2 linked regions of the Mus musculus genome follow. The protein of the gene in region 2 interacts with the protein of the main gene of each other region in a pairwise test. Links are inferred from orthologs where the notes say so. Each region holds a gene or a part of one and is shown on either strand. Other genes may lie near its edges.

Region 1 (4,544 bases), on a different chromosome or scaffold from region 2:
ACCAATGTTCTAAATTTATATACTACAAACTATCTAATAAATGTTATCTGCACACTACACACCATGTTTATATTATGCACCATTTTAAAGGGGAAGAAAAGCTTCACAAGAGTTTAGTCAATCCAAAGGATATACGATAATATCCTAAGGATGCTGACTTAGAAATATGTATAAACTGAGTGGTCATCTCCAATGGACTGTAACAAGCCCCTATAATGCAAACACTGACTCTAAAGGCACCTTACATGGCACTGAAATTCACAATCTAACCATGACTTTTCTTCTGTCCAATTCAAAATTATCTGGTTGTCCTTACTATTGATTCGACAGTAAATTGTTCCAATTTTTGACTGTTTTACCAATAAAAGAAATGATAGTTTTAAAATTTCAACTTAGAGGAAAAACTCACCACAGCCACAAAAACCCGAGTACATGCTAGCTTGTGACTACAAGGAACACCGTCTGCTAATACATTAGTCAGATTCCTCCACATCATTCAAACTGCAGTGTGTAATTCCATAAATAAGAACACACTATGCACTAAAACACAGAATCAAACTGAGAAAAAGGAGATTTAAATAAAGCCTAGTCAGCCCCAAACATGTAGGTTAAGACAGTGAACAGAGAGCACATTTCATCCAATAACAACTTTAAACAGTCCTATAAAATAATGTAACTTAAGACCTTTAAGTGTGACAAGTTATGTGATTGTAGCCACTCAGAAAAAGCGTCAATGAGAACAGCACTCACTGGCAGCTTAGAGCCTGTAGAGCAGGTCGGTTTCCCAATTACACACTACCTGGAGACATGCCAGCCAAGCACAGTTACAGAAACGCTGATGATCTGCAGCTGCTGTGAAAAGGCATCCGAGTGAACCGTATTACAGAACTACACTTTGAACTTTCAGTGCCTAAAGTGTGAATAATTCCCTACATTTAACAGTCTGCCTGGTAACGATTTAGTAGATTTTTACTTTTAGGATTTTAACCTTGGAAAATTAGTGGTAAAATATGGGTTAAAAAATGATATGGCTGCACTTAAATTCACATAAAAATAGCATTTTTACAACCATTTTGAAATTTAATTCTTTTACACAGGTTAACAAAATGCATCACAAGAAAACTAAACATTGGGTTTAATAAAGTCAGTATTTCTCAAAGTGGAACAGTGAATTTTTTTTCAATTTTTTACAAATGGTCGTTTTGGGAAAATTTATCACATCAAAGTAACAGTTAAGATAGAATTGTGCTCAACCAAGCCACTTATCTGCACTACAGAATAGTACTTGAAAGCAATCCTAGTCAGATTAAAACCATTTTGAGAGACAAGACTTGTGTTAATAGCTACCTCAAAAGAGGTAGTTTTCCTTCCACAGTCAAAGGTCAATTAAGATTGACTAATCTTTTTTTTCCTTGTCATATCTTCAGTTCAAAACACTATGATCACTGGTAATACGGTCTGTATCTTGTTTGATCTGGATGATGCGGTCCAGGTAGTGGGGTTTGAGAAGGCGGGCCCTGCATTCGTGGAGGAGGAGGTGGCCCTCTTGGTGCAGGCCATATACCAGGACTCATTCCTCCTGGTTGTGTAAATGGAGGGCTCAGAGTTCCTTGGTCTTCAGTAAACTGGGGTAAAGAGTTAGGATTGTAATGGTGAGGAGGGGGTGCAGTTACAGGTGGACCACCATGCTGAGGTGGAGGGGGTCCTGGAGGAGGATGATTCATATAAGGTGGCATCTGGGCAATAATATGTCCAGGGGGAGGGGTTATTGGGGGTGGAGCAGAGGTCATTGGTGGAGGTGGAGCTTGGCTATATACCAAGTGAGGAGTACCTGCAGCCTGGGGAGGGTGTGGCATTGGATGGCTTATTGGTGGTGGAGGAGGTGGGGGTGGTGCGTAATGTTGCTGTGGAGGCATAATATGATGAGGGTGAGATACCACGGGCTGACCCTGATATTCAGGATGGTGATGAGCAGGTGCTGGGGCAGGAGGTGGTGGTTCTCTAGCACCTGAACTGGAGTCATCCTGAATAGGGACCGTTATTAAATTGCTGTGTTTTCTTGTTGAAATACGAAAGGTTTCCTGACTGACCGAACGAGGTGGAGGTGGAGCCATGGACAATTCTGCCGGAGGAGCACGAATATCCTCATGTGGCTGATTATAGTGCTCATGTGGCACATGCTGCAGAGGAGGCGGTGGCATCATGATGTGCTGCTTTGGAGGAATATGGCTCATATGATGCTTGTCTGGTGGCATTATGAACCGATCGGGGATGTCAGTTGGTGGGGGGGCAATAGGAGGATGAACATTCTCAAGTGAAGCACGGGTAACGGGCTTTCCAGCTCTCATATGGCGATGGTTGATATGAGCTTGTAAGTCTCTCTGAGACAGATATGTTCTCTTGCATCCTTGAACAATGCTACACATAAAGAGAGAACCTCGTGTGCACTGCTCAATCCGCTGCACAGGATCACTACATCTAAACAGGAAGAAAAAAATGATTTACTAAAGCCAAAACACAAACAGCACATTTAATTTAAGCTTTAATTTAAAATATAATATACTTGCAAAGTTAACAGTGAGTATTGAATTACTGTTAGTGGACCTCTAACATTTTCTATTTGTATCAGAAACTAATCATCAACATCTCTACCAACCAGAGACTATTTTTACCTCAGAACTCTAAACACCAAAATAGAATTTCTTAAGAGACCTTCTATTTCCCAATACTTACAGCTCATTAATATTCTCTAACTATAGTATGATTTACATAGAAGAATGACAAAGCAAAGGATCTATCATTTACAACCAGGGAGTTGTCTCTTTTCCTTGTAGGAGCTAGGGTGCTTCTAATTTGTGGCCACTTTGCACATTTCTTGCTTTTCAGCCATCTAATTACTACACAGTCAGAAACATATCCATGCTAAATAGGGTAAGGTCTTTTCTTTTGCATGATGCCCAAAAGCAGTAGCATATACTATTTAAATTAATTCTGGTTGGTAACTTTATTTCCTGCCCTTGGTTTGACAATTAAGACAGGTTTCTCTCTAGATAGCTAAAGACTACACTGGTGAAGTGCATACTAGAACACATTTAGTTACCTGAAAACTAAATTGCACTTTTAAATAGTAATAGTGAAACCTCTATGGGCTGGAGATATGGCTTGGCAGTTAAGGGCACTGAATGCTCTTCCAGAGGACCTGGGTTCAAATCCCAGCACCCACATGGCAGCTCACAACTGTCTGTTAACTCCAAGATCTGACACTCTCACACAGACAGGCATGCAGGCAGAACACCTATGCACATAAAATATAGGTAAATAAATTAAAAAAAAAATCTATGTAAAAGAGAGAATCTTTTAATGTTCACTACATTTAATGTTGCATTACATTTTAATTCTTTATCTTAATGGAACAATCACATGTTATATTAAGCTAATGCACAACACTGGGCTGGGAAAGGCATTAGAGAAATACTTCAACAAAGGCTACAATATATACTTCCAAATTTTATATTCTTCTGAATTATAACTCTATAGAACATATAGTAGTATCTTTTAAACACAGTATATATTTCATAATCTATAACTTTAAAAACCTAATGAAATATACCAAGAAAATCAGTTGTCATTGGGTCATTAACAAATCACCCCCTTTTTTTCTTAGCAAAGCCCATATCCTGCACCACAGAGGGGAAATCTTTTCTTACAGTTGTTTATAGTTTTGTTAACAATCAATGGTGTTCCTTGGGGTACTTTCAATTTTAGGTTTAGAGGATCTGGAAACCCTTGAGCTAATCCAAAGTTTCACTCCATTTTTCTCAAGGCTTTCTTATCAGGGGTTCCAAATTAATATAAATTTTCACTTTATTATAGAGCTATCCCAAGACAGATACCATGATGTATAACTTCGAGTCTATCATGATGTCGTTATCACCCAAAACACACCTGTTTGGGTTATTGGAAAACAGGAATAGTAGTGTTTATTATATGCCAATTCTACTGTTCATTAATCCTTACTTCATCTTAAAAAGAATACAGGGAGCCGATAGCTATAAAGCCACTTGTACCACACAGCTGATCAATAGTCAAATGGGGACCTGACCTCAACCATTCTAATCCTGGGGCCAGTGAGACAGCTCAGCAGGTAAAGTGCTTTCTATGCAAGCCTGCTCTTCTAAGTTCCATCCCCTGAGCATAGGTGAAGTTGGAAGGAGAGAACTACTCCACCAAGTTGCCTTCTGACCCTGGCACATGCTCATACCACCCGCCACATTATTCACATACAATTAATAATAAAAGATGTTAATTCTCACTTTGGAAAGAGGTTGTTCTCAATCAGCAAACCACGCTATACTTGCTTCCAGGTATGCCAGACACACACAAAAGAGAAAACAAGAAACCGCTCTGCTGTCCAACACTGTTCCCAGAGATGTCATCATTTCAGCTACTCTGAATGAACTGACAATGGCTAGCTCCATCTTCCAGAGAAGGGGAAAACTAACTCCAGGTTCACACAGAGTGGCTCAGCCAGCACGTTTGCATCC
Region 2 (5,400 bases):
CCCCAAAGCATGGAGAAGACACATCAGCTGGAAGCTCCCATGATCTGAGTTCACCTCTGTCCTTTGGTCTAGGAATCCTGGCAGAGTCAAATCAAGTGAGCCTCACAACAGTTTAACAAAACTCTTTAATAAAATTCATAAAAATGCATCTTAGAGAACGGTTTCAATGGCTTACCTTTTCCACCCCCCACAAAATACAAAATTATCAGCACCCACACACATACACTCAAACTACATACAAAGGTCACTCTAGCAACATTACATGATTAAACTACAGAGAAATCAACAGTTCTCACAGTTGATTGTGGTCATCATTTTCTTCCAAAGTTAGGTAAGTACAGAACTTTCAATAAAATTCTTTCCAGTGGTTATCAAAAAGCTGAGATTTGCATTTTGAATGAAAACTCTCAAAGGTCTTGTCTCCTTTTTCCCGTTAGAATGTTCTCTTCCTGCTTCCTGAGAAAATGCACAATTTGTAATATTCTCAGTTTTCTCTTTTGGTTTGCAGAGACAGGGTTTCTCTGTGTAGCCCTGGCTGTCCTAGAATTCGCTTACTATACTATATATACCAGGTTGGCCTCGAACTCAGGGAGATCTGACTGCCTCTGCCTCCTGAGTGCTGGGCTTAAAGGTGCGCGCCGCCACACACAGCATAGTCTCAGTTTTCTACTCAGAACTGGGCAACTTGGGTTTAAATCGGCCAGCATTTTCTGTAGCTACCATCAAGAGCAGGCATTGGAGGGGTGCATTTCCTGGGCTTCAGGAATACATGGACAAAGATTCCAGCCAGAAAACATTGGTTGAGATAAGCCTAGTCTTCCAGAAATCTTGTGGGATAGGTCTCACCGCCTGTGTACCCTCACCATCGGTGTGCCAACTAGCCGGGTTCGCTGATGTTGCTGTCCCCAAGTTTGGTTTCTCTCCTTTTCTCTCCTCTGTCTTTGGTGGTGGCACTCCAGTCTCTCTCAGAGAACAACCATTCTTTAGTTTTGGTTTGAAAGAAACGCCAAGAAACTTAAGTGGTGCCCGAAAACCTCCCTGCAGGTTCTGATCAAAGCAACATATCCCACTATGGCATGCACCTAAGAATCAGGTGTGTACCTAAGAATCTGAGACGTGTGCAGCATGCATAGTGGTCCCTTTTTTTTGTTCTGCCCCAGACACATAGCCGAACAAGGAATGCCACTGTAAATGAGTTCTCTGGAGGTGGAGAGGGAATACCACGAAAGATCTTGGGAACACACACACTATCCAGCGCAGTTGCACCCACACCAAGATACCTGTCTCTCACCATAAAAGGGCCCAGGCATTTCTGCATCCTAGAATATCACCTGGGCAGGGCAACAGAATTCAGGAACATGAGTGACTATTAGAATACAGCAAACATGGTAATTGAGGGCAAGTACACAATGTAAAAAATTAGTGAGGTGTGAGGGGCTTGGGGCTGTTGTGTCTGGGGCAGATCATAGCTCAAAAGAACAAAAACAGAAACAAACAAACAAAAAAAGGCACAGTTTATATCTCAGCACTGTAAAAATAAAAAATAAAAAAAGATTTCAACAATCAGTGAAAACCATCCTAACACAGACAGTCCAGTAGGGAGAGTGAGACCACTATGCAATCTGCACACTTCTCAGATCAGTCTCTCTTCTACACACTCAGGGAAGGAGCTGAAAGACCACTGATATAATTATTCTGCATCTCCCATGGTGCCACACGGGGGAGACTTGCTAGTCCCCTAGTCGTCCTCACCACCGCCGTACATGTCCGCCAGCTTCTTGAATCGGTTGCCCCACTCGTTCAGATAATCGTAGTCCTGGTCCTGATCCGACTCAGAGGAGTTCAGTGAGCTCAGGCTAGCGGCTTCAGAACCACTGCCCTCGTAATCGAACACCAACAGAGAGTCGTAAGGGGGTGCCGTGGGGTCGCTGTCGGCTGCCTTCAGGTTCTAAAAGGAAGAGCACCGTACTTATCAGTATGCATCAGAGGCAAGCAACACCCCAAACATGAAAAACTAACCAAGGAGTAGTTAACCCCTTCAAGGTACACACACACACACACACACACACACACACACCAGCACAGAAGGCAAAGTCCCAAGGCCAGGCTGGACAGAGGGTAAGAGCAACGAGAGTCGTCATACTAAAACACGTAGGTTACAGTTCAGCCCAGAAAATCCTCGAAGGACAGATGACAAACTGCTATTGTTAAATGTTAATTCTGAAGTTGGGGGAATCAGGAATTTAAAGTCCTCCTCTGCTACATACTTCAAGACCAGCCTGATCTACATAGCGAGTACATACAAAGCCAGCCAGTGTTTGAACTCTTGGTCCCCAGCTGGAACAATTTGGAAGGATTAGGAGGTGTGGCCTTGTTGGAGAAGGTGTGCTACTGAGAACAGGCTTCAGTCTTTTTCTGCTTTTCTTTGAATCCAGGTTTTTCCTGGACATCCTGGAACTCCCTCCTGTAGATCAGGTTGGCTTCAAACTCAGAGATACACCTGCTACCTACTATCGCCCAAGTGCAAGGACTAAAGGCATGGCCAAGGCTTGACATTTTTCTGTTTGGTTGGTTGGTTTTTGGGTTTTTTTTGGTTTTTGTTTTTGTCTTTTGAGACAGGGTTTCTCTGTATAGCCCTGGCTGTCTGGAACTCACTTTGCAGACCAGGCTGGCCTGAGCCCCCAGCTCCTGCTCCAGCTGTGCATGTCTACCCGCTGCCAGGCTCCCTGCCATGATTGTCATGGACTCTAACCTTCTAGAACCCCAAATTAGACTCTTCCTTCTGTAAACTGCCTTAGGCATGGTATCTTGGCACAGCAAAAAAGAAAAAAAAAAAAGTAACCAATACCGGGCAGTGGCAGCCCACACCTTTAATCCCAGCACTTGGGAATGCAGCGGTAGGTGGGGCTCTGAGATTGAAGCCAGCCTGGTCTATGAAGAGAGTTCCAGGACAGCTGTGGCTACATGGAGAAACCCTGTCTTGGAAAAGAAAAGAAAAGAAAAGAAAAGAAAAGAAAAGAAAAGAAAAGAAAAGAAAAGAAAAGAAAAGAAAAGAAGAGAAGAGAAGAGAAGAGAAGAGAAGAGAGGAGAGGAGAGGAGGGGAGGGGAGGGGAGGGGAGGGGAGGGGAGGGGAGGGGAGGGGAGGGGAGGGGAGGGGAGGGGAGGGGAGGGGAGGGGAGAAGAGAAGAGAAAAGAGGAGAAGAGAAGAGAAGAGAAGAGAAGAGAAGAGAAGAGAAGAGAAGAGAAAAGAGGAGAAAGAAACACACCTAAGACAGCAAAATAATGGAGCAGGATGGTAGAAGAGTTAATATGTTATATATGTGCATATGTTTTCAACAGAATAGAATGCTGAACCCAGCATCTCCTATTATCTGTTTAAGTGTTTTGATCAGAGCTGAAACTATTTCTAACACATATAAGTACGTTACGTGAGTATGTTACATGAGGGATGCTATTTTTAGGGGCCTTAGGTAATCTGGAAAACACTGTGTGTGCTATGTATAGCGTGTTTTTGTGTGCACATGTGCATATGAAAACCCAAGGTTGACAATATCAGGGGTCTTCCTCAACTTTTCTTTACCTCATTTACTGAGACAAGGTCTCAGACAACAGAACCTAGAGCTTGCTGATTCAGGATGCTCTAATCTGAACACTAGAATAAACAGGCCACCATGCCTGCTCGGCATTTACGTTGGTGCCTCGGATGCCAACTACAGTGTATCTGAGGCACCAACTACGGTCCTCATGTAGCTGAGATGCTGTTTTATCTACCTGCCAAGCGGCCTTTGGCTCCCTGTGACACTCCCCCAAACAGGTGTAATGAATGCAGGAAACTCATGCAAAGCAGATTTGCTCTGTAACTCCTAGGTCTCCTAAATCTCTGCAAGTAGATTTTGCTTTTGTCTCGGGGACATAGGCACAGTACAGCAACCACTGGAAGGTTCTCCTCATTTAGAACGCTTTTCTTCTTGGTTCGGAGTTAAGAGATGTACTGTGATTTGCCTCACAGCCTTGTCTACTTACTTCATCGATGAAGTTTCCAATTTCATCAGGATTGGCAGGACGGGGACGATACTGGGGCACGCTCATGAGGGTGGGAGCCACATCATTTCGAGTCACTTCCGGTCGGGCATCCAGGCCCCTGTGCAGCTGGCTCAAATCAAAGTCCTAGAGAGAAGAGCAGAGCATGAGAGCCTGTGAGAAAGAAGCAGCTGCTCGCACAGGGCGGGGCTTGCTTCATGGCATCACAGACTATGCTGATGGACAAAGCAAACGACCCCCAAGTGCCCAAATGCATATGAAATGGCATTTTCCAAACTACAAGTCTCCTGATGCAAACTGAAAGAAAAAGGAGCCCTTGGGGACTGCATGAACTCAAGCTATTGAGTCTTACTCGTTTCTCGGGACATGATTATCAGGTAATCACCTGGCAAATCCTTAGTCCTCCCCGTCACAGCTGATACAAGTAGTGTCTTGTCTGTTAAAAACGGGCTCTGGCATGTGAGGGGCTTCAGGCAATAAGACAGCAATGCATGCCTACTGCAACTCACATGAGGCTCCCGTGCAGCAGACCCGAGCGTAGGCTGCAGCTTAGAGTCTTTCATCACAACGCTGCCTGGTTGGGAAAGGCCCTCACTGATTTACAGATGTTGTGAGTCTCAATGTAATCAACCAGCAGTGTAGAGAACACAAGAGTGTCTGGGGGAAGAAACTTGAATTCTTGTGACCACAGAGTTCTGTCCTCCATAGCAGTACAGCAGGGTGATGACTGACATAGCCTACCCAACACCCCTTAATCAGACTTAAAGCTCTCCATCTTTAAAACCCACCTGGTCTTCTTCTCCACCTCCTTCTTCATCATAGTAATACACATTGTCCCGGGTATCATCATCTGGTGGCAGCAGGGGCTCTTTGACCACCGTTCTCCTCCGTAGAAACAGTAGGAGCAGCAGGATCAGAACTGGAGACAAGGAAGGAAGGCAGGGAAGAGTGATGAGCCACACGCAGGAAAGACCAGGGGAAGCCACTGTCCTGGAATGCCACAGCCTCACCCCACCAGGCAGGTGGGTAGCCACCTGAACGAGGACTATCTCATGTCCAGCCAAATGAGATCATTTCTCAAAAAACAATATAACAAAAATGATAAACAAGTTTGACATCTGGCTCCTGATACCACTTCTGCTTCCAATGTCTAATAAGAGAATTTCCCCAGCTTTATCTACTGCCCCCGACAAAAAAAGTCAAGGTATATCCTCAATAAGCAAAACCCCGTATCTTTGATCATTGAAATCCTCATGGCATTTTACCAAGCCCAGGACAGGTAAAATCAGAACAAAGACCACGGACAAAAATGACAGATTCCCTCCAAGCATCTCCACTCTCCTTCATCTTTTCAGCCAT

The links.
Region 1: the proteins of Cdh1 (region 2) and Cbll1 interact in a two-hybrid assay, tested with the Homo sapiens proteins (2 studies listed by BioGRID, with this or other methods). The link is inferred for Mus musculus from reciprocal best matches to the Homo sapiens genes CDH1 and CBLL1.

What each region holds. Positions count from the first base shown.
Region 1 is NC_000078.6:31,485,837-31,490,380, forward strand, and holds part of Cbll1 (E3 ubiquitin-protein ligase Hakai), read right to left. Parts: intron 2,479-4,544; coding exon 1,443-2,478; 3' UTR 1-1,442. UniProt on the Homo sapiens protein: E3 ubiquitin-protein ligase that mediates ubiquitination of several tyrosine-phosphorylated Src substrates, including CDH1, CTTN and DOK1. Targets CDH1 for endocytosis and degradation.
Region 2 is NC_000074.6:106,664,954-106,670,353, reverse strand, and holds the end of Cdh1 (cadherin-1 preproprotein), read right to left. Parts: intron 4,961-5,400; coding exon 4,830-4,960; intron 4,168-4,829; coding exon 4,024-4,167; intron 1,949-4,023; coding exon 1,739-1,948; 3' UTR 107-1,738; downstream 1-106.